Linked DNA regions of Xenopus tropicalis. The protein of the gene in region 3 purifies or fractionates together with the protein of the main gene of each other region. This does not show direct contact. Links are inferred from orthologs where the notes say so. Each region holds a gene or a part of one and is shown on either strand. Other genes may lie near its edges.

The links.
Region 1: the proteins of rassf1 (region 3) and sav1 purify together in Homo sapiens (affinity purification with western blotting; 3 studies listed by BioGRID, with this or other methods). This does not show direct contact. The link is inferred for Xenopus tropicalis from reciprocal best matches to the Homo sapiens genes RASSF1 and SAV1.
Region 2: the proteins of rassf1 (region 3) and map1b purify together in Homo sapiens (affinity purification with mass spectrometry; 3 studies listed by BioGRID and IntAct, counting the BioPlex papers as one, with this or other methods). This does not show direct contact. The link is inferred for Xenopus tropicalis from reciprocal best matches to the Homo sapiens genes RASSF1 and MAP1B.
Region 4: the proteins of rassf1 (region 3) and map1s purify together in Homo sapiens (affinity purification with mass spectrometry; 4 studies listed by BioGRID and IntAct, counting the BioPlex papers as one, with this or other methods). This does not show direct contact. The link is inferred for Xenopus tropicalis from reciprocal best matches to the Homo sapiens genes RASSF1 and MAP1S.

Annotation. Positions count from the first base shown.
Region 1 is NC_030684.2:93,082,742-93,086,846, forward strand, and holds the start of sav1 (protein salvador homolog 1), read right to left. Parts: upstream 2,811-4,105; 5' UTR 2,419-2,810; coding exon of another isoform or gene 2,322-2,418; intron 1-2,321. UniProt on the Homo sapiens protein: Regulator of STK3/MST2 and STK4/MST1 in the Hippo signaling pathway which plays a pivotal role in organ size control and tumor suppression by restricting proliferation and promoting apoptosis.
Region 2 is NC_030677.2:182,786,152-182,790,173, forward strand, and holds the start of map1b (microtubule-associated protein 1B), read left to right. Parts: upstream 1-1,177; 5' UTR 1,178-1,482; coding exon 1,483-1,660; intron 1,661-4,022. UniProt on the Homo sapiens protein: Facilitates tyrosination of alpha-tubulin in neuronal microtubules. Phosphorylated MAP1B is required for proper microtubule dynamics and plays a role in the cytoskeletal changes that accompany neuronal differentiation and neurite extension.
Region 3 is NC_030680.2:127,214,044-127,216,726, reverse strand, and holds part of rassf1 (ras association domain-containing protein 1), read left to right. Parts: intron 1-2,197; coding exon 2,198-2,302; intron 2,303-2,683. UniProt on the Homo sapiens protein: Potential tumor suppressor. Required for death receptor-dependent apoptosis. Mediates activation of STK3/MST2 and STK4/MST1 during Fas-induced apoptosis by preventing their dephosphorylation.
Region 4 is NC_030677.2:110,980,879-110,984,992, forward strand, and holds the start of map1s (microtubule-associated protein 1S), read left to right. Parts: upstream 1-1,246; 5' UTR 1,247-1,282; coding exon 1,283-1,397; intron 1,398-4,114. UniProt on the Homo sapiens protein: Microtubule-associated protein that mediates aggregation of mitochondria resulting in cell death and genomic destruction (MAGD). Plays a role in anchoring the microtubule organizing center to the centrosomes. Binds to DNA. Plays a role in apoptosis.

The DNA.
Region 1 (4,105 bases), on a different chromosome or scaffold from region 3:
CCTAACTATATTGAAAACATTTTATATTTTGCGCAGTCTATTTTGACAATTATTTTTATTTTTACACTGAACTGCTCCTTTAAAAGGGGTTGTTTGCCTTTTTTCTATTAATGTGAACGTTTAGATTTGTGTATGTTGTACAATCTTTGCAAAATACACAGTAAACATATTATGTGCAGCTGAAGAGATATTGACCTCAGAATCATCCCTCAGCTCATCCTTTATTTTTGCACAGACCCTGTGCTGGGGGGGTGGGGGTCTGTAAACACTACAGTTGCTTTTTTACTTCCTTATGTCACGCATAGTATTGGCAGCAGACTTAACACTTACCGGCTGTGCCTCCTGTCAGTCTGACACAGCATCCTGCGACAGAATGCTGTAAATCTAACATAACAGTATGTTAGATTTGTGATATGCTGAGTCTGTTTGCCTTTGCCTTTGCAAGGGAGAAATGAACCAATGACCTTTCAAGTTATGCAACTGGTTAGGGTGCACAAGTAACCAATGAATTGATCCAATAGAAAAAATAAGGACAAAGCCTATAGGAAATTCTAAGTGTGTCAGGTTTTAAAATAGGCCCTTCAGAAAATTGACCAGATATAGGAGGACTGATTTAACAGCTATAAAAATATTATTTCACTGACAGACTGCCTCTGCTACTTGATTTGCACATTTCCTTTAAATACACTACTGTCATATTCATTTTGTGTTAATGAGACAATGTAAGTGTATTTATAGTGTTAAAAAACAGACTATGAAAAATTGGACAATCTTTACAGATACACAATGGTTAAAGGTGGCCACACATAAGGAAATATTTATTGAAGTTTAAAATTAGAGATCCACACCGAAAAAACTCATCCACTTTCTATTCATTTCTATGGAAGTGTATTTATCAATGGGTGAAAGTTAGAGTTCACCATTTGATAAATGTGCCTCTAAAAACCCAATAGAAATAAATAGAAAGTGGATGAGTTTTTCTGTAGTGATCTCTAATCTCACACTTGTGGCCAACCTATTTGCCTGAGGATTGGGCAGTTTGACATTGCATTATTTAGTCATATGGATTGCCAAATAGTCTGTTCTTCATCACATGATGAAAAGATGCACTGGCTGATTTAATTTTAAGTTGAGAGAGGGTACAATATGCTGTCGTTGCCGAAAGCTCAGTTAAAACAGTCCCCTACCCATTGCCATACATGCTAAGTGGCCCAGGTAATATGGTCTGAATTTTCCATCTGCCTCACCAAACCTATTTAGGTAGATATTTTTATTTACATCCACAGTGTGTATTCAGTGCTCAGCCACTGTATGACCTGTATAAACTCCTCAATCAGTTCACAGACCTCCACGATCCTCCCCTCATCCCTCCTCCATTGTCCTCTTCTCTTTTCTTTATCTTTCTCAGCCCTCTTCCATTCATACTTCTAGAATATCAATGCTCAGTCCTCCCTAAGGGCTGTGACACTTGGGGAGATTAGTCGCCGAGCGACTAATCTCCCCAAAATGCCATCCCGCCAGCTAAAATTTAAATTGCCAGTGGGATGGCATATGCGGCATCCCGTGTGTCACAGCCCTAAGGGTGAAGCCACATGGAGCTACTAGTAGCAGCTACTTGCCACAGCTACCAAAATAGACAATGCTGATCATTTACGGATAATTGTCTTTACGTGTTTTTAGCAGCAGAGGCAATTGTTTTTGGCAGGGTATTTTTTGGCGTTTAGTAGCCTGACAAATAGCTGCTACTAAGTAGCTATTGTGTGTCTTCCCAGACAGCAGAAGATAAAGGGGGGGTGTGAAGCATAAAGGCCAAAGAACTGAAGTGAATGAATACGGACAGGCTCCTACAGACATGTAAATAAAATAAGAATATCCTAATATATACTCTATAGACTTCACTTGGTCTCATCAAACTGCCTCTGTCTGAAACCAAAATTGCCAGCGTGCATAAAGCAAGGTGGCATAAATACTTTAAATAGGTCCCTCAAACATAGTATGAGCACAGTAAGCAGGGCATGTGGGGGGTGGTACTGTTATTGGGGTGCTGGAATTACATGAAATTATCTGCAGAGCAGTGCATACATTTTATTATTCATTCCTTCAAAATATCTAAATTAAAATTGTCAACATATAAATGTAATTATAAGTAGCGCATACAGGCACTGTATTACAGGCTGGTGTAGCTTTCTGGTGGATTGTATGGGAAGTTGTATTCGGCCCTTGATAAAGATGCCGCAAAGTTACTTTCCCAAACAAAAGGTGAGAGCTGGGCTACTGTCGCGCCCCTCCCAATGCCCATATAAAACTACCCCATCACTCACTCCGCAGCAGCGGGGAGGTCTCTTTCTTCACGTACTTCCCCTGCACCTCCGCAGGCTTGGAAACTTCTTTCTTGGTTTTCTTTCTGGATAACAACATTCCCGCCCCTCGGCTGTGGCGCCCCCACACTGGCTCACTCAGCCGCTCCGCGCAGCATTACTTCCCCGGGGCAGGGTCCCACACGCACACCCAGCGCCTTGTGTTCAGGGGCGAGCGGCGCTGCTTTTATTCAGCTGCGGGTCACGAACATCTCCTCCAACGCCCACCTGTGAGCTGCTAGTGATAGCTGGTACATCCCGCTGCCCTTTCGGAGTGCCCAACGCATGCATCCAGTGCCCGCACCCAAACCCACCGCCGCCCCAACTATACCCAAGCCGCCTAGCGCGACCCTTCCCAGTATCTCCCGAAAAACTTTTCTTCTCTCCTTGTCTGTTGAAAGACGCATGCGCAGCAATTGCAACAGGCTATGACGCAGGCGCCGCACCCCGTTTAGCATTGGCTGTTTGGTTTGCTGGTTGGAACTGTGTCAGAGTAGTTGCGATGGTGCTATGTTCTGTGTACATCCCTGCCATCATTTACAGCGCACAGCTGACATGTTTGTTGTGACAAAGAATATCCGCATGCTGCAGTACGCACTGCTGGAATGACTGCCCTGTAAACAATGCTCAATACATGCTATCAACTTATTGTAATACAAATATGCCCACCCACCCACACAGCGTGCGTTTTATTGTATGAGTTAGCATGCTTGACCAATGGTTATTGCCCTGTAGGGTAGGCCTGAGGTGGTAAAAAAGCAGTTCAGGGATATTTAAAAACAATATTGAGTACTGGTGAATTTCATTTCTTTGCAATGAAGTGGATTTAATTCTGCTTGGTTTGTTATGCTGCACTAGCACAACAAGGGAACAAGCTCTGTGAGTTTTTTTTCCACAGTGTAGCTGGCCATTCAAGCCAGTGGCAAACTTCAACCCAATACAACATTTGATTTATAAAAGGATTGTACAGTTACTTGAATAGTCACACATGGCACAAATAACAGGCTACACCCCTCCTATTCGCACCCAGTTCCCACGCGTTTCATGACTGGGGGGGGGGGGTTGCACTGAGGCTGCCTAGCTGTGCCCTGTACTCCTCAATCTCACACTGCGTCCAGTACCCATGCATGCTGTTCCTTGCACATAATTCATGATGTAAGCAGGGCTCCCTTGCTACAATGCTCATGCACTATGTGGCACAAAGTACAATGTGCAGTTTATCTGTATAAAGCCTTTTCTATGTGTATATGTGTGGAGCAGTAAATATCTATGTAACAATGCAATTCTTTGTGGAATATGTGGAAATATTTCCTGTAATAATGGAATGAGTAGCCTTCCAAATTTCCAACACCAGACTTTTGCAGATTAAATTATTGTGCCTGACACCCTGTTGCATGCACCTTAATGATTAATGCCCTTTCCTCTAGTACGGTAATGTCAAAACAATGAGCAAGCAGTTTACCCCAGGTGCAGAGAAAGTACCTATAAGCCCTAACCAGAATGTATGTACACTGTGGGGATTGGTTTGCTATAGAAGCTGTCCCTGGGAATTGGTTTTGCAGCTTTGTGAATAAATACTAACATTATAATTCCATATAGTGCAAGGAGTTAGTTGTCCTATAATGGTTGAGAAATGCTGGTTAAAAGGGACACTATGATAAAAAAAAGTCTCATAAAGTGATGGCCTTATTGTCCTAGATGTGTAACAAACACTTGCCTCCAATGCCCAGCTAGAATTCATAACTGAA
Region 2 (4,022 bases), on a different chromosome or scaffold from region 3:
AGTGTTTTAGCCTTGCAGTGTATAGTAAGATCATTACTGGTGCGGAGCTTTACAATGTGCCTTTGCACTGCTGTGGGTTTTTGATCTATATGTCAGGAATGTCTATAAAACCATAAGGATTTGGCGTTTGCACTCAGCGAAAATTGGGCTTTCCACATAAGTATTTTCATGGATAAAAAGAATCCATGCTCTATATGCAGTTATATTAAGATATATTTTAAAATAAATATTTAGAGCCATATATCTTATTAAAACAGACTTCTTTCTGACTCTCCCCTGGTGGGGAAGAGTAAGTGCAGGGGGGTGCAAAAACATAGTCTGCATTAAAGGGGGCTAATGTTTTATTTTTAAAAATGAACATTTGGATTTTAAAGGAAAAGTAACATAAAATAAAAATTGAGAGTGTTTTACAGTAACTAAAATATAATGTATGGTTGCCCTACACTGGTACTATAGTTTGTATAAACAAAGCTTCTGTGTAGCCATGGGGGCAGCCATTCATGCTGGAAAAAAGGAGGAAAAGGACAGGGTGCATAGCAGATAATGGATGAGCTCTGTAAAATACAATGGGATTCTACTATGCAACCTGTTCCTTTTCTCCTCTTTCTGACTGAATGGCTGCCCCATGACTAAACAGCGGCTTATTTATATAAACTATAGTAATGTTTCTGACGCAAACGCACCAGTTTTACTAGTGTAGAGCAACAGTACATCATATTTCACTTACTTTAAAATATTTTTATTTTTTGGTGTTACTGTTTCTTTAAAGTTACCAGAAGCTCCACCTGTGGCCTGGCATTTAGTCATATTTATTATTATCAGCATGTAGTTATATATTCTGCAGCACTGTACAGAGTATATGAGTATAAATTGCACATACATATATGTACAATAACCTATAAAAGATACAAGAGCCCTGCCCAAAATCCAGAAAGCTGTTATTGCCCAAAAAAATTATATGTACATAGTTTTTTTCAAGTACATCACTAAGGAAAAGCTCCTAAAGCAAAAAAACACAAAAGGATGGAAAATTCCCTGACATTAAGGGCAATGAAAGTGCAGAAGTGGGCTGGCAGTGAAAGGGTTACAGGATTGTGTTGTACGCAGTGAAAGCTTTGAATAGAGACAGTAATTCCTTAGGTTCCAGTGCAGGAATGGGCCGGGGGGAATCGCAGCTGATGCACCGCATTGCCTCCCTGCTGCTGCTGCTACTGGCCGCACTGAGTTGCAGCGCTTCCTTTCTGCTTCCGGAGGCGATGATTTGCTGCAGATGACATCAGACGCGGTGGATGCTGGAAAAGAGACAGGCAGCTAATGTGATTCTCCTCCCAGGGTCCCAGCCCAGGCTCGCCGTATAAAAGGCTGCCCACCTCCCCTCCCCGGCTCACTCCCTGCTGCCTGCTCTTACCCGCCGGGTGTAGCCGAGTGAGGGAGACCAGGAGGAATATCAGTGAGAGGAAGCCTGCAGGGTGGGGGGATAGGATGGCAACCCTTGTGGAACCAGGACCGGCCATGGACCCAGCACACACCGTCCCGATCCCAGCAGCCTCCCCCAGCCTCTCGCACAGGTTCCTGGACAGTAAGTTCTACCTGCTGGTGGTTATTGGGGAGACAGTGACCGAGGAGCATGTGAGATGCGCCCTGAGCAACATCGAGAGAGGTAAGGACTGGCCAGAGACCCCCTATTAGGAAACCCCCCCCCCCTTCAGCATCCCTCTGTCAGACCCACAGGTTGCACTTGCTTTTGTTCCGGCTCGGCTCCTGCCTGTGGGCACAAATGCCACATCATTTTGTCGCATACCTTGGACAGAATTGATTTTGTAGCTGAACCGATGCACAAAATACCTGTGAGAAAGGACAATTGTGCCATTCAGTTTGGGGGAACAAAGGCAAATCTGGAGCAGCCACTCCCTTTTTTTCTGGACAGAAAATGTGGTGGGCTGCAGATCTAACAGTTGGCAAGGAAGGAGCCCCTCCCTCTGCTGCCACACTGAGAGCAGAACAACCTTCCTGCTGCCAAGCATGCCATTTTCTACTAAACCCGGGCTTCTGCTCATGCAATGTGCCAGTTATATGCCATGATAAGAGCAGATGGGCAGGGAGCTGCGGGTAAAGAGCTGGGGATGCTCAGCACTGCCTTTTCTATGTAACTCATCCAATCTCCATGGGGGAGAGGGGAAGTTTCAGTAGCACCGCTGGGTGTGCCGGGCCGGGTATGGAAGTGCCGGGCCGGGTATGGAAGTGCCGGGCTGGGTGTGGAAGTGCCGGGCTGGGTGTGGAAGTGCCAGGGATGGTACCCTTGGCTCTATTCTGGGCTGGCTGTAGGATAGCGGAGAGAGAACAGCTGCTTGGGGCCCCAGCATCACAGGGGTACGTGGGAGCAGGCAGATCAAGTTACAAAGGACATCATATAATAAATGATAATGGATATTTTTAATAAATAGATAGTGAATGTGCAACCCGCAACCCCCCAGCCGATGTGGTACTGCAGCTCTGCACATCTCTCCGACAGCTGCCTGTTCCCCAACAGCTGGAGGAACAGCAGGTTGGCTATCTCTGCCATCCTGAATAGCCGGGGGCCCCGCCCCAGATAACCTGGCTGTTCTACCCTTGCCATGCTCCCATCTCAAGGACGTGCAGCGCAGACTGGGGCAGCGCCATGTACAGAGCAGCGCATCCTGCCATGCCCCACGCCCAGCCATGCTTATTGGATTGATAGCAAGAGGAATATCCAGTATGTGGCCCTCCAGTCAGGCGCCTCCTGCTAACATGGGGTGCCACTAATTATAGCTAACAACGAACTGGAGGGCCACAGGCTGGACATTGCTGGTGCCATACAGGTGTCAGGGTTAGAATTGGTCCTGATAGCAATGGGATGCTTCCCCCCTTGGTTTATTATAGACTAATGCTGGTGAGATTGCCTGTATATTGCCATATACATGGCTCTAAATGATATTTGCACTGAATAGGGAACCCCTTTCCCCGGTATGGCAAGCAGCTGAGTATATAAGCGGTGCCAGGACAGGCAGTGCCATGCTTGCTGCGGGAAGCTCGGAGGCGCCCATGGAGCGGATCTCCCAGCGCTACCGGATCCAACTTGCAGGAGCGCCGCGGTGCCGGCTGGGGTGGGCGTGGCGCAGTCCGCACTGCGGTCCCTACGGCAACGCACAGTGGGCAGAGAGCGTTCCTGCGGGCAGCCAATAGGGAAAGGGCATGTGCTGGGCTCAGTCAGGCGGCGCTTGTTGCTGTGTCACTTTCCCAGCACAAATCTGCTGCTTCATTCATGCTCCTGTCGCACCCACTTGCACACATTCACTCGAAGGCGACTAAACGCTTCTTTTTATTCTAGATTCTGTTTAGGTAATCAATTCCATACCATAGTGGCTTCTTTCATTTTGCCGGAGATCTAGTAGATAAGCACTGTAACATAATTGTATTTAATCTCTAATACTAAAGAGGGCAGGGTGAGGGGCATGGTTTTACCTGCATTTCTAGTTAAGGAATAGAGAGAATTCTATGTGGGCCCTGTACAAGGTGCAAGATGAGCGACTCTAATTGAATATAAAGAGGGAGTGCACTAGTTTCTCTAGATGGTATTATGTGTCAGGGTGAAGACACACAGAGCTACTAGTAGCAGCTACTTGTCACTGCTACAAAATTAGACAATGCTTATCATTTAGTGATAATTGGCTCTATGTGTGTTTTAGCAGAGGCAATTCTCAGTATTGTCTGGCAGGGTATTTTCTGGCATTTAGTAGCGTGACAAGTAGCTGCTACTAAGTAGCTTGTGTGTCTTCGCCCTTAACCTTTACCTCAGCTGCTCAGTTGCACATAATTACCTGCCCCCTTTTGCCCTGCTATTGTCACCCCCTGGCACAGTCTGATAATGCACAAGATTCACAAGGCTATTACCCACATCAGTTCTGAGGGGACCGATCACAGCAAGAAAGCCCAGTTACAGTTGGGTAGCAGTAGGGCATATTTATTGTTAGTGGGGCCTGAGGTGAAAGAGACAGCCTTAT
Region 3 (2,683 bases):
TGCACACAGAGATCCTTCATGCACAGGGTGTGTGCCGCATTTCCTTCCTCTCGGCCTTCCGGGACTTGCTGTTCCCAGGACTTGGAACAAGAACACTCCCCACCTTATCCCAAACCCTGCAGGTCTGGGTAGGAGCAGGCTTCTCATAAAGTACCGGATGAGCCCTTCTCCAGCCTCTTTCCTCCCCTTCGCTCCCCACCTTTCCAGTACCAGCCTGATGCAACGCTGACTAAACTGGGAGATTTAGGGAGGGAGGGGAGGGAGACAGGAGGAGGACATCATAGACAAACCGATTACAGGAATAAGTGCAAAGAGGAAGTCACAGCTCCATTTTGTCTTTAGTGCCTTTGTAGGATAGTTATTTGCCTCTGGATGTGGTTTTACAAGGCAGAATTAATGAGCCAGTAATGCACCCACAGCTTCTACAGGGTCTGCTTGGAGCCAGATGTTTTCATTAGGCATGCCTAGGGCTAGTTTATATATTAGAGAGAGCAAGATTGTTGCAATATACATGCAGGCCCTTTGTCTGACTGAGGCAGATGGATCTTACTCCTTTTTGAGTGTATTTTAACATTCATCCTATAGGCCACTGCCACTTCTGGGCTGAGGTACAAAATGGGCCATGGCATTTCATGGGCAGAAAGGTCCAAACAGCCCCACACAAGCCCAATACTAAGCACCAATCTGTGGCAACTCACAGCAGCCCCACAGGGGCTTTTGGGTAAAGAGTAACAAAACCTGCCTGATGTCTAGCGCCCTGATTGCTCTGAGCTTTCAACGTGGCCATAGATTACAAGATCTTGCCAAACAAGGGGATCTTTCCCCAATATGCCCACCTAAGGTGGGTGATATTGGGCTAATTAGATTGTTTGGCTATAGGCCAGAGATAGGAGCAGTCGGAGCGAGGAACACATCAATGAGCCAACGCAGTCCCCAGTCTGTCTAAAAAATCAAACTTTGCCGATCAACACCTGGCCAATTTTTAACCAGATATTGATCGGGAAGGGCTGTCGGGGGTCCCCAGATATGCTGCCAAATCGGTCTAAAGGACTCGAATCTGCAGTTCAAATCTGCCTGTGTATGGCACCTTAAGAAAAGACGTATTACTAACTAGAAAGGAAGCTGAGTCACATGAGAAACAGGAAATGAACATCTGCGTTTTGGTGCCAAAAGTGATTATTTTTCAAGATTTTTCCAATTCTGCTCTGTTTTAAACAGTATTACACAATGTCTTCTATCACTTTTTTTTTCATCAATTTGTAGTTTTTATTTACTGGTATCAGTTCGGAATTGTTCTAGAGCACTGATCCACAGCAACCAGTCAGTCTAGTGCAGTTAGAATAATACATTGTCTGGTTGCTATGGGTTACTGTTCTGGTACAATTGGAACTGTCTTTGTAAATTATCCTTTTCAGTTTGTTCTTTGTGACCTAAAGGCATTTCTTCTGACCCTATTAGATGTTTGTTGCTTCTGTTTTTGTTCTAGTAAAGGGTAGCAGATGAGCCCCCAGGATATCACTGCTGGCTTAAAGAGGTTGTTCACCTTTAAATTAACTTTTAGTATCATGCAGAGAGTGCTATTTTGAGACAATTTGGAATTGGTTTTCATTTTTTATTATTTTCAGTTTTTGATTTATTTAGCTTTTTGTTCAGCAGCTCTCCAGTTTGGAAATTCAGGAGCTATCTGGTTGCTGGGGTCCAATTTAACCTGGTAGCCAGGCAGTGGTTTAGAGGAGAGACAGAAATATGAATAGGGAAGAGCCTAAATAGAAAGACAAGTCATAGAAAGTAACAATAACAATAAAATTGTAGCCTCACAGAGCAATTGCTGTTGGCATCAGTGGCCCCCATTGGAAAGCTGGAAAAAGAGAAAGTCAAATCATTCAAAAACTTTAACAAATAAAAAATGAAGACTAACTGAAAAGTTTCCAAGAAAGGACCATTCTGTAACATACTACAAGTTAACTACCTTTTTAATGGAAATTCCGTTGGGCTCCTTCGCTCACTGCAGCACAGCTATTTGCCTGCCTGTAGTGCAAGGCTGTGCTGCCTCTCCATTTGCAGGTAGATTTGTGTTGTGGGGAAGGTGCTGCTCTATTGAAATCAGTTTTTCTGACTTTTGACCCTCCCTAATCCTTAAGCTTAAGGTTTTCAACATTAAATGGTTTATGTAATATGTGGTTTCTTTTTCTTACAGGACGAAAAGCCAGAAAAGCAGCCGCAGGCCCTGAGCAAGGCAGAGCTAGAACAGAAAATAAAGGCTTATAATTCTCAGATAAAGAGCAATCTCTTCATGAGTCTGGTACGTTATGAGTAATGCACAGACAGAATCCTCTCCTGTCTGTGATGCTGGTATGTGTGAATTCAGTAAGCACTCAGGGCAGGAATATTGTATTACTTGGCCCTCACATTTATTGGCTTTCACCAGTCACGTTTTGTAGTTTGAGTGCTCCGTAAGCCCCTCCAAGATGTTGCCTCCCTTTGTTCACTATGACCCCATTATAATTTATGTACCTTGAGCCCCTCTCTCTGTGTGACCGTATGTGTGACGAAGGGAAACCCTTTCCATTACAGAATCACTTGTGACACATATTGTATGGCTACTAAGAGAAGATTATACCTTGACAGACTGGTGACTGGGAGAAGAATGGATTGGCAAATAATATAACTGAGCAGGTCGCAT
Region 4 (4,114 bases), on a different chromosome or scaffold from region 3:
AGCTTCTGATTGAAAATTGTTGTTAATAGTTGATACGCAAAGAACTATCATCGCTTATGGTGATAAAGTACTACCATTACTTGATAATTACCGTATTTGATACTGTATTAATATTATATTCAGCAAACCAAGCCAAAAAACATAAAGGTAACAGGTATTGACTTCCAAATGTACTAAGAAATGAAGGCATGATTACACACTCATATATATATTTGTCTTAGATAATGAGCACAGAATGAGCCAGGCACTGAAGTCACTCTTAAGGTGGCCGTCCACAAGCAGATTTAAGCTGCCAAATCGGGTCCTTAAAGCTGGCCATACACGCACCGATAATATCGTATGAAACCTTGTTTCGTACGATATTTGGTGCGTGTATGGCAAGTAGGCGAGTCGACCGATATCGCAGGAGGCTGCTGATATTCGTCGACCCGCCGATCGGGCGGTTTAAAAGATTTTGATCGGGCGCCATTGAAGGCGCCTGAGCAAAATCTGCCTTAGTGGCGGATTGGAACGATCTTTCGTGCAAATCACCACGTGTGTGGCCACCTTTAGACTTATCAAGCAGTTTATCTACCCGTGTATAGGACCCTCTGACAGGCCTCCCTGTCTGATATTTGGCCAAAAATCAGCCAGATGTCAATCAGGCAGGCTTGATTTTACTGCCATATCAAGGGCCACATTGGCTCATTGATGCGGTCCTCGCTACAACGTTTTATATCCCCTTTATTTTAATGATATAGTTTGGCCCTAAGTGCTAAAGACAAAATAAAATGATGTACATTGGAAAGTTGCTAAGTGATTCTAATAGAATCCCTAAACTTTCTAAGAAGAATTTGGAATACCAACTCCAAAACACCCAAGCAGAAAATAAAAATATCAAACGTTATGCACAGGACACTGCAATGATCCTACTGTCAGCAGAATCAATGAACCACAGAATAGGCTGACAGTGTCCTCTTACGCAGTTCTAGTAATATAATACGAACATAAGGGCTGACATTACAATGGTACATTTTATATTGGGGTTGTAAAGTTCGTGAAGCTACAACTCGTGAAAGTCAGCAAGAACCCTGTTCTGATTTTCACAGTATTATGCTGCTTGATATAACTGAACACAACTTCAGTGACTAGCACCTCTCCTACTACATGTGATAGAACCGCTCAGCCCTTCGAGTCTCCCCTCACTCGAGGTGGGCGTGTCTCGTCCGCCCCCTACCCGTTGCTGAGTGGCCGGCGCTGACTTCATTCCCGTGCCGCTTTGCGGGGTGATGTCACTTGCAAGATGGCGGCGACTCGGGCGGGTCCCGGGCATCTGCGGTGCTCCGTGCTCATAGTGTACGGGGAGATCCGCCGGGGGCCTGGCCTTGTGCGCAGGGCGGTGAGCGAACTAAAGAGAGGTAGGTGCCATAGGGCGGAATAGGGAGAAGGTGTATAGAGTTTGAGCCCCTCCTTCCCTGTCTGCCGGGTGATGTGCTGGCCATTGGATTTTTCCCATACCAGTAGGGGTTTCAAATGCATGACAGTGTGCCTGGGTATGTACATGGCATTTGGTGTACCAGATGCAGGAAAAGGTGATGTGCGGTGTTAGCCAGTCAAAAAATGTTTACAGGGTAACCCTTTTGAAATAAATAATAACAAAAGTGGTATAAAGGTGATGCCTTTATTGGCTAACTAAGATAATCATAGCAAGCTTTCAGAACATTTTAGTTCCTTTTTCAGGTAATCAGCTTGAAAAGGAACTAAAATGTTCTGAAAGCTTGCAATGATTATCTTAGTTAGCCAATAAAGGTATCACCTTTATACCACTTTTGTTATTTTTTATTTCAAAAGGTGTACCAGATGTGACGGCGTTTTAGTTCCGTATAGGTGACTGTATAGCCAAGTAGCATTCATATTCATGCATGTGGATAGCTGCCTGGGTGTCTCATGGGCATTGGACTCCTGAGTGGAGCCGTACAAGGGGATGTCCATGTTGAAACTGTTCTTTGCGCGTTGAAAGAAATTCTTTCTAGGCAACTTTCCATTCTATAATGATGATTATGTTGTTTGCAAATGTAGTTGCTATTGAACGCTGCATTTGTGTGACTGTTTATATTCATTGCACTTTAGTTTTTGGCTTTTGAAAGGTGGCAGGAGCCAGCTGATAAAAATAGAGGAAAACTTACTTAGAAAAAGGATAGCTTACTGTTTTCACCTGAAATTTACATTTATAAATAATTTAAATTCATTGACATTGCAATGTATATTGGAAAGTTGTTTAGAATAACAGTTTCTTGTATTATGCAAAGTATCTGTAAACGTGCATTTATGAGCATGGTAAGCATAAGCTTTTGTAGGTACGTTTACCCCTTTTGCATGTGCTTTAACATCATTATAATTCCAAAAACCTGGAGAGTACACTTATTTGCAGTGAATCAGTGTAGTTTTATTGAGACATCTTAAGCACATATAATTCCAAAAACCTGGAGAGTACACTTATTTACAGTGAACCAGTGTAGTTTTTAACATCATTACCTGGAAACCGTCGGAGAATAGGTACAGAAAAATGCAGTGTACACATAGTTAATAGTATTCATGCAAAGCAATTCTAAGTGCAAACAATATGGTTAGATTAGAAAATGATTGAATGTGCTTAAAGGTCATGTCAACCCCAAAAATAATTTTTTGCATAATAAAAGAAAACATAATTCTAAGTAATTTTCAAATATGAACTAATTAAAAATTTGTAGCATTTTAAAACTTATTTGTAAATGTAATCCTGGTTGTTACTTTTTAAACAATGTTACAACTGTCAGTCTCCTCCAGCAATACAGGTCTGTCAGTCTGCTGCCTTGTGTTACATTGTTTCAACAGTCAGAGCCACCAGGGCAGAGAATAGAAAAGGACAGGCAAACACTGCTTTTAATATATATACAAATAACTCAAAAATCATTACAAATTTGTAATAAATGTATATTGCAAAGCTGCTTAGAATTTTGTTTTGTTTTATTAGGCAAAAAAAATTATATTTTGCGTTGCCTTGTCCTTTAAATGTGAGTCCTGTTCTTCCCTCTTTTGATTTATTTGTTGCTGTGTATTCCTGTAAATAGAAATATACACACACACTCTGTATTTCTTAGTGACAACAAGCTCTGTGGCACTGATCTGTAAACACAATGTATGGGTTTGTAGTTGGCACTTTGAGAAGTATGACTTGTGCTGGGAGCCTAGAAAGATACAAAGCCAAAAACAGGAAATATGTAAGTGTTTGACTTTGTTTCCGGATTACTTCATTCTTATCTTGTGCATTCACAGCTTCTCATGTTCATTCATTTTTGACATGGCCTCTGCCTACTACCCACATATGTGGTTCCACACCTTAGCATGTTGTTAGATGTACCCCTAATGTATGGCACCATTTTGACCACTTACATATGACATTTAACTAAATGTCTCTTGAAAACAGCTTTGTATGTCTAGTATTCTGTGGTTGTATTTTAAGCTTTTAGATGGTTAAAAAATTTTTTTCTTTACCTCTTATATCTGTTATTGGCTGCTTTGTTTGTAAATATGTATGGTCAATGTATATACCCATTTATTGTACAGTGCTGCAGGATATGTTGGTGCTCTAAATATGCCATAGACACACAGGGCTCACTTTCCCCTAGCAGAAAAGACATACAACATACAAAGAAAGAGCCTTCTACAAAACATTTCTCTTACGTAAAATAAACAGGGCAGATATTAGATTAAACCACATATAATATATATATATATATATATATATATATATATAATATTGTGGGAAGATTAGCTTTTGTACTGCTAGAAAGCAAGATTTGTGAACAAAAAATAGACATGACACAAATTTACCATAATCAGGACTTTTCCTTTTTATTTACAGTTAATCAACACAGTTTGTTCACAGGTTCTTTTGACCAGCCATATTGACCACAGTACCAAAAATAAATCTTGCTCATATGAGCATTACTTTATACTTTTGGTACCTTCCCTAATTAAAAGGGCTGGTACTCAAGAGTGTTCCTTTCTGCATTTCTGTTTGTGACCTTCTTTTCTGACTTCAGTTGGACTAATGTACAGTTTTACACAGCTTTAACCACTCATGGACAACTTC